Kluyveromyces lactis: one gene and its partner. Each later gene encodes a partner of the first gene's protein in a complex. Links are inferred from orthologs where the notes say so. Each region holds a gene or a part of one and is shown on either strand. Other genes may lie near its edges. The genes, in order: HDA1 and HDA2.

Evidence for each region.
Region 2: the proteins of HDA1 (region 1) and HDA2 are in contact, whole or in part, in a cryo-EM structure (PDB 6Z6O), measured with the Saccharomyces cerevisiae proteins. The link is inferred for Kluyveromyces lactis from reciprocal best matches to the Saccharomyces cerevisiae genes HDA1 and HDA2. Residues at the interface, in NP_014377.1 of Saccharomyces cerevisiae: Met48, Ile51, Leu56, Val64, Arg65, Arg67, Tyr68, Ala70, Phe73, Tyr76, Phe77, Tyr79, Ile80, Arg88, Tyr91, Thr107, Leu108, Ser109, Gly110, Pro122, Val123, Arg124, Glu147, Arg151, Asn167, Asn168, Asp169, Val189, Glu190, Gly191; in NP_010581.3 of Saccharomyces cerevisiae: Pro105, Thr106, Glu107, Asn124, Phe128, Gly160, Lys161, Lys162, Arg447, Leu448, Glu450, Thr451, Arg453, Gln454, Asn455, Asp458, Lys461, Val464, Gly465, Phe468, Lys469, Gln472, Asn557, Ser561, Asn564, Asp565, Arg568, Tyr571, Gln572, Ser575.

What each region holds. Positions count from the first base shown.
Region 1 is NC_006041.1:752,759-756,850, reverse strand, and holds HDA1 (histone deacetylase HDA1), read right to left. Parts: upstream 2,804-4,092; coding exon 689-2,803; downstream 1-688. Other genes in the region: KLLA0_E08405g (Ark/Prk/Nak family serine/threonine-protein kinase), read left to right, coding at 1-646; rRNA (cytosine-C5-)-methyltransferase RCM1, read left to right, coding at 3,487-4,092. UniProt on the Saccharomyces cerevisiae protein: Responsible for the deacetylation of lysine residues on the N-terminal part of the core histones (H2A, H2B, H3 and H4).
Region 2 is NC_006039.1:895,899-900,035, forward strand, and holds HDA2 (Hda2p), read left to right. Parts: upstream 1-1,457; coding exon 1,458-3,362; downstream 3,363-4,137. Other genes in the region: GTPase-activating protein NEL1, read left to right, coding at 1-1,112; sphinganine-1-phosphate aldolase DPL1, read left to right, coding at 3,886-4,137. UniProt on the Saccharomyces cerevisiae protein: Required for activity of HDA1 histone deacetylase complex. The HDA1 histone deacetylase complex is responsible for the deacetylation of lysine residues on the N-terminal part of the core histones (H2A, H2B, H3 and H4).

The DNA of each region.
Region 1 (4,092 bases):
ATTAAGAAAGGGAATTTCCTCAATGCAGTTCACTGGTGATAGCAGTTCCAGAAAATCATCTTTAGAAGCAAGAAAGTATAGAAGTACTTCAGGCAAATCCATTCCTGAAAATACTTCTTCTAACACCAAATCCCATAGGCGGTCCACCAGCTCGTTTTCCTTCGTTCCGGAAAATAATGACTATGAATTGATCGAAGATATACAAAAGGAGAAACCAAAATCATCACTGAGAAGATCCTCTTCCTTGAAAACTTCATCTTCGATCCAGAAGCGCGTTAAAGATCTAATCAATGCAGATGATATACCCAATCGCTCTTCTGCCACTGGATACGGGAAATATACTGATATTGGGAGGAAAACCGATATATCTGACCACCATAAATCCAATGCAAATCGTAAATCAAGTACAGTGATCACTCCTGTGCATGAGGCTCCTAAATCCAAACCAGCACCGCCACCCAAACCAGCTCATTTGAAGCCAAATCTTCCACCTAAGCCTAAACACCTAAAGGCAAAATCTTTCAGAACAAGCCCAGCAAAATCCGAAGTTAAAGAGCAGGATTCCGATCAAGATTCTGTGGGTAGCCCTTTCCAATCTCGAAAAGAAATGAAAGAGTTTGAAAGAAGATTTCCAAGTGCATTATAGAATACTTTTAAAATTACATATATCTTTATAATGATATTCTAATTATTCCGATTCACTCCATTCTTCGAAAGAATCCAATATGAAATCAGTTGCTTCTTCAAAACGTTCATCGAATATGTTTGTCATTCCGTCACAATCTGCCTTCAAAACTCTACCATACTTCTTTCTTAACTTCTTATTTTCGTTGGCCGTACTACCCCAACAAGAATGTGTGCTACTTGTGAATACCAAGGAATTCTTGAAATACCAATCTCCTAACGTTTCGTCAATTAATGGCACCATTACTTTAAGAGGTTTTTTGTCTAAAAATGATATTGCACATTTTACCACTGACCTGGTATCCCTATGGCCTAATAAATGGACAATGCCTCCGTAGGCATCTCCAATGCCGATAAATGCCACCTTTTGTAGATTTTGGAAGAATTTCAAGTAGTTATCCCATAAATATATCAGAATCTCTTGTGATGACGCAACACCTGGGTAGTTGGCATGTTCAAAGAGTGTTTGAGGTATATTTATGTCAATTATTCCATATCTTCTATCCATTGCCCAATTGATCATCTTCAAAGCATTGTCGACGATAATTGAACTAGAAGGATCAATAATTCCTGTCTGTGTGTCACGTTCAGACCAAATCTCTGGTGTGTCATGCACGATCACCACAAGTGTTTCAGAGTCTTGGATACCTGAGGTGCATAGCATAGTATTTGCTGGTAAATTCAAATCAAGAATTGGAAGTTGAACAAAGTTGAATTGTGATGAGAGCTGTGAAACTTGGTATTCTCTAATAGCATTTTGTAAAGGGAAATTCCTTGTGTCCAATGTTGAAGTTATAGCATCCTTGAAATTGATCCCGTCATTTCCATGTCTGTTCTTAAAGCAAGACCAATACTTTGACTGCGTTCTGATGACTGTTTCGATCATTTTTTTTGCCTCTGGAGTTGGTTGCTTTTTAGGAGCAGGCAATTCATCTGGTGGTTCTCCGACCAACACCTTACAAACACCAAGCGCCGACTTAGCTATAGAATCCAAATTGTACCCACCTTCTAAGACAACACACAAGTTTCCTTTAGCCAACGAAAGTAGCATATGGGTCATGTGACCGTAACAAGCAGGAGTAACATGGCATTGGCCGATAGTGTCACCATCGGCTGCATCAAAACCAGATGAAATAAGGACCAAATCCGGTTCAAACTCGCGACCCATTGGCATGATAACTTGTTCAAAAGCCCACATGTATTCAGCATCACCAACACCGCCTGTTGGCCACGTTATATTACAATTGAAACCTTCACCTTTCCCTTCGCCGGTTTGGTCATAGTTTCCATGGATAGTACCTGGGTAATACTTGCCTAATTGATACCTGTGAAGAGATACATATAAAACTCTATCATCGTCATAGAAGGCCTTTTGAGTTCCGTTACCATGATGGATATCCCAATCAACGATCATGATTTTACGAACACTTTCAGGATACGATTTGAGCATATTTGCAGCAGCGACGGCTACGTTACTGAACAAACAAAAACCACCAGCAATTTCAGGTTCAGCGTGATGACCAGGTGGCCTTACTACAGCTATTGAGTTTTTCACTCTTCCCTCGACGACAGCCTTACATGCTTCGATAGCACCACCGCATGAAAGTTTGGCACTAAGATACGAGTCATTATTGAAATACACGGAATCTCCACCCTCAGTCTCCTTGAGTAAACTTTCACGTTCGAGCTGTTCTGTCTGTGATATGAAATCCAAATGCTGTCTTGAATGGACTTGCAAAATTTCTTCCTCTTCAGCTTCACGTACGGGAACCTTCACCATTAGATCTCCGATCGAATCTGCACCACTCAAAGTTGGGTCCTGAATCAATCCATTCTCCGCTAGGATCTTGTAAACACGGTAGATACGGCGGGGGTCCTCTGGATGTGGATCGATGTATTCGAAGTAAGACGTGAAGATCTTAGCATGATAACGCATCCTCACATCATAACAGATCCCGGTTTTCAAAAGACTATATCTAATCTTTGGCTTCGTTGGTGGAACAATGACAGGCCGTTGAGATTCATCTTTACTGGGCAGAGTATATGCAGTACCCTCATTTTTAATTTCCTTGATGCTGGGCCTTTCCAGCGGCTCTTCAGCCGGTTTTTTACTTTCCATGTTCCGAATATATTATGGAAAGGTAACCACGATAATGTTGAATGACAGGCAATGGCAAAAGGGATACCGTAACTAGCTTTCAATGGGAAACGGTCTACTAGAAATGAATGATACAACCACAAATTACGTAACTCCAATGCACGCTTAATTCCCTAGAGCGCCTTTTTACCTTCTAATCGTGAGGAAAGGCTAAAAGTCCACTGAAAATGGCGGAAAAGCTGTGAGAGAACTCTCTTCGTTCGGATTATCTCTCGAAATTTTACTGGCCAAAAAAGTTGTTTTGTGTTCAGATACCGTCAGAATCGTTTGATTGACCTTGGTTATATGGACGTAGCTGTCTTGCACAGGATCTGGTACTCAGAAGATCCGTATGAAGATCAGCTGTTTCACATATGGTTCCATGAGCGCAGGAAATTGTTGATGTTTTAAAGTTCCAATATTTACAGAAAACCAAACTGAGGTGACAATAGAAAAGAAATTATTTTTCAACATCGGACTCTTCAAGTACTGAAAATTGAAAATGTATAATACGTATGAAGAAACATGTAACAAGAGCTCATCGCGATGAGGTATAGAATAGACGTAATATAGTTACGTGTTAGAACTGATTTTGCTGGATCTGTGGTACAAGCTATACAGCGCTATTTCATTGGATTTTCATTTTAACTTCATTGTGATTCGAGATGGAATTCTACCGTGATGCAACCTGGGTATTGGAATTCGTGGAACAGGAGCTCTCTAAAGACAAGAGAGTTGCAGGTTCGTTACAGACCTTGGTACTTACTAGTTGTAAAAGATATAAGCTGAAGACAAATCCTCGTCACATTTATGCCATTGTTAGTAGTACATGGCAGTATAGGGAATATCTAGATAAAATCATTAAGAAGAGCGGGATCTTGGAGGACGTACCGAAAAAGAAAGGGAAACCGCTGTTCAATAAGGATACCATAAGGCTCCTAGTACACGACCTTTTACTTTCAAAATCGAAGCGGATTCAGATGGGTAAGCATCCTATCAAAACTTTCATTTTGAAGCATCAGACTAGGTTAAAGGCTGAGTTGACAAAGCTCAAAGTTAAACTTAAAGTCACCAGTCTGTCGCAGTTAATCAAAACCGATGATGGAGAAGATGTTACACCGGTTCGTTGGATCAGAATTAACCCTATCCTTGTCAAGGAAAGATATGACGATGTTCTTGCTGAATTAAACAAGAAATTCCCACAAAGAGTGAACTCTTGGAAACAAATCGTTCCTGGGAGCATATATTACGATGAGTATATTCCAAACTTG
Region 2 (4,137 bases), on another chromosome or scaffold:
TATTCGTCGCATCCATGGATCAGGTCGGAATATGGGAGATGAGATCCTGTTTGAACAACTTTATTCAATACGAATCCTTCAATGATAGAAATTTCATATATGATTGGCAGGCGTATATTCAAGGGAAAGGATGTTATGAAATAACCAGAATTGTTATCAAAACTTCTAACAAGCTATTACTGAATGGGATCTTTGGTCCAGTCTCATCCTTGAAAGACAAGGACACACATGTATCTGACACTCCAAAGGGCTTTGGAGGGTCTGGAACCTTCCGTTACAAAGGGCCAAGTAGTAATCTACCATCAATTTTGATAAGTTTATCTGTTGATACATCTCGCAGCGCTGCTGAAGCCTTGCAAGAAATGCCAGATAAATTTTCCTTTCAAATGGAATGCTACTATAAACACTTGAATCAAGAATACGTTTCTGTAGAAACGAAATTTATTCCCAGTACAACCTTACCAGGTGAACATCTTTTAACCCAAAATTTCCACTGGGATATAATGGCTGGATCCATAATGAAAAAAATATCTTTCGCTGTCTTGTTTCAAGGCAAGTTTTATGATTACGATCTAAGGTGGTGGACGTTAGAAATAGTAAAACTTCTTAAATCATTGAATGCCATCGATGTTCCTGGCATTAAATCCTTACAAGAAGTAACGTACTTTATGCAAAGATCAACTCTCTTAAGGAAGAGAAATACATCGCCTGACGAGTGGATCGTCTACCATTGGACAATTCTGAATTCCCCTTTAAGTCATATATTCAAGATGGTTAGACCCCAAGTGTATTCGACCACAGGGCTTATTCAAAATACAACTGACATCCTTAATTATGCCGAACCTTTATTGGTAGATGGTGGTAACGTCCTTGTGGTACGAGATACTTCAGTAGGAGATAGCAGAGTTGACAGTTTGAAGGCAGCTGCTGATACCATATACCACGATGGAAGTCGATTTCCAAAGCCTTGGTATCGAGAAACCAAGCCAGGTGCTAGTCAGGATAGATTTGTAATTGCACGACTAGGCTTAACTGCAGAACATTCTTTGCATTCTGATGACCTCACGCTTGATAAATACATGGCACTGTTTAAATCAAAAAGTACTGCATGAAAAGTATGTAATCATTCATTTTACCTCTCAACAGATATCATGAACTCTATATATATATAACCAAAACCAAAAGGTTAGAATAGTTCCCCATTTACTGTCGCAACCTTCGAATCTATCGCTCCCCCTTTGAATAACAATTGTATGGCAGGAAAAGATACTATGTACGTATTCCTTGGTTTCTCCATCTGTCGCTTTTCAAAAATGACATATTTCATTTTTTAAAAGATACTATATAATTAAATCTAACCATTCTTTCCGAATAGCACATTAAAAGCCAGAGTCCAGAGGAAAAGAAAGAGAAACTGCAAGCGCGAGCCATTGGGTCGTTTCATTAGGGAAAGAAAGATGAACTCCACTTCCAACCGGACTCAGGTATTTTATATACCTGTTGGCCTAACTCAAGTTCAGAAAGATTTGTTGGAAATTTTAATCTCGATACATGCAGAGTCGTTTGTCTCATGTGTAGATAAACGTCTACTGCCAGAACTACAATCTAAATTAGAAAAAAAAGGGACAAATCTCAAAAGAGACTTGAGTATGACTGCATTAACAGATGTTCAGTTAACTGAATGGTTCTTCGAAAATATAAGAGCTGTCTCGAATCACCCTTGCCTGTTAGTTGAGCATTATATGCCTAGACAGTTTTTGTTAATGGAACCAACTGAAAGGTTGATATACACCAGCGATAAATTTGGCAAGTTAAATCTAATGGTTGATCTTTTATTGAATCGTAAGGACAAATCGAGGCCATTGCAAGTTGCTATCATTTCACATTCTGTGAAAGAATTGGATTTGATTGAAGGCGTCATGTTGGGAAAAGTTGCAAAGTTGAAGAGGTTATCTGGAACTTCTTTGTTTGACGAAAAACATGAATATGACGATCAAACTTCTGGTTCAAGAACAACCAATGGTGAAAATTCATCAAGTTCTGGTAGCGTAGCTCCTGAGCAAATCGGAAAATCGAAAGATGAATACAACTACTCTAAGTCAAGACGTAAGAATAACATATCTCAACTTGACTGGTTGTTTTTGGCAACAACCACACATTTGACACACTCTGAAGATTTACTTTCTAGGTACAATCTGGATCTTATCATCAGTTTTGATCCAATGCTGGACGAATCGTTACCATCGATATTCAAAGTCAGGAAAAATGGCAGAAAAACTCCTCTGTTTAAGCTATTGGTCCAAGATTCTCCGGATCACTATTTGTTATCCAAAAAGAAGCCAACTACTACTTCCGAAAAGCTAATTTTGGATTCCATTGTTCATTTTCTAAAGTATCGTGCCGATATCAAAGATCTTATTTCTTTACAACAATATGAAAATATTATTGACTCATTGATCAAAGAGACGGACCCTGGTGAATTTCTCCCAAGTGTAAATCCAGGAAGTTCGAGAAATAATGATGATTTGATTCCTTTTCTAACTAACCCAATGGAATTGATGCCTCTAACTTACGGAAAATATGAATTAAGGCTACAATCAGGACCAATGGACATTAAAAATTATCAGTATATTTTAAAAACACTCACGGCAGAACGACTCAAACAATGCCATGTAGAATATGAAGAGCGTGAAAAACTAGTCCTCAAGACCAGATTGAAAGAAACTAAAAGGTTAAATGACTTTGATGATTTGAAGGTGAATATCGGACAACATTTCAAAAAACTCAAAGAAAATGAAACCAAAATCAACGACTCTGAAAAACGCGTTGAAAGAACAAGATCTGAGTTGGAAGTTTTAGAAGAACGTCTAAAGAGCTTGGTTGAACGCAAATCCGAGCTTGTAAGGCTCTTAACTCTCGAAGATATTGCAAAAGAAATTGAAAATCAGAAGCAACAACATACCAAGCTATCAGATGAAGTTTCTTCCTTCAAGAAGAGTAACGATGAAGAGTCCTTTAAGAATGACGATTTGAGATCTAGCTACCAACAAAAATCGTCTGAGGCTGCTTCAGAAGTGCTAAAGACTTCAGCTCTGAAAGCTGAGAAAGAGGAGTTGGAACGCCAATTGAATGGACCTTTCACCAAGTGGGAACTTATTATATTGCAAGAAAAAGAAGCACAACTCAAATCTTCCTTACGCAAAATGGTACAGCAGTCTCAATTCCTAATACAATACATGAACCGAATACAAGGCCAATACAACATTGAAAACGAACCTGCAAAAAAATCATCTCCGGCAACGAACAACTCGTCAAGGTACACTACAAGAACTACCAGGGCTACTTCTCCTACGTACACATAAGTATTACTCCTTCTAGGATACATCCAGACCAAACCATCTCTCAACTACTGCATGCAATATACTGATATCTGAAAGCCTGTCAGATTCTGGTAAACACAAGCTTGCTTGCAAAATTGTAACACTAGCGCAATTACTCCTCTATATAGACCAGTTTGTATTATGTGAGTCAATAGTGACTTGTTCATTCTAATTTCGACATGACCACCCTAACTGCGGCAGTAACGGATCGGCATAACCATATTCAGTTGAAACTGGAACATAGAATTTGAGCTTTTTTTTTCGTACTTTTCGGATTTTAAAGACCTTTACTGATTCGTCTGGTATTTTGCATATAGGGTAGAAAATAAGAACTTTTAGTAGATTTTATGTCTTGCTCTCAAATTGAAAGCAGAAACTAAGGGTATACAGTTCTTTTTTTTTTCTTACCATTGCGTTGTATTGAGCTGACTCCCACAAAATAATAACACTTTAATCTTGGCTACTGTTAAACTCTGAACTTGATTTTGATACAAGTTTTCTGATAATGGGAAAGATGAGTTTCATTGAAGGATTGCAGAAGCGCTTTTTTTTAGGATATTCATACAAATACAACACGTTCGAACTTGATCCTATTATACTGGCAACTTCTATCAAGGTGGCAGTTTTAGATTATTTTCGGAATACGCCTTGGTATTGGATCATCAGAGACGCCGTCTTTTACCATCTGCTTTTTAACGTTTTGTCCCGGATTATTTTGTACATAAGGGGGTATGGGCTTCTGACATCAATTTCTAAA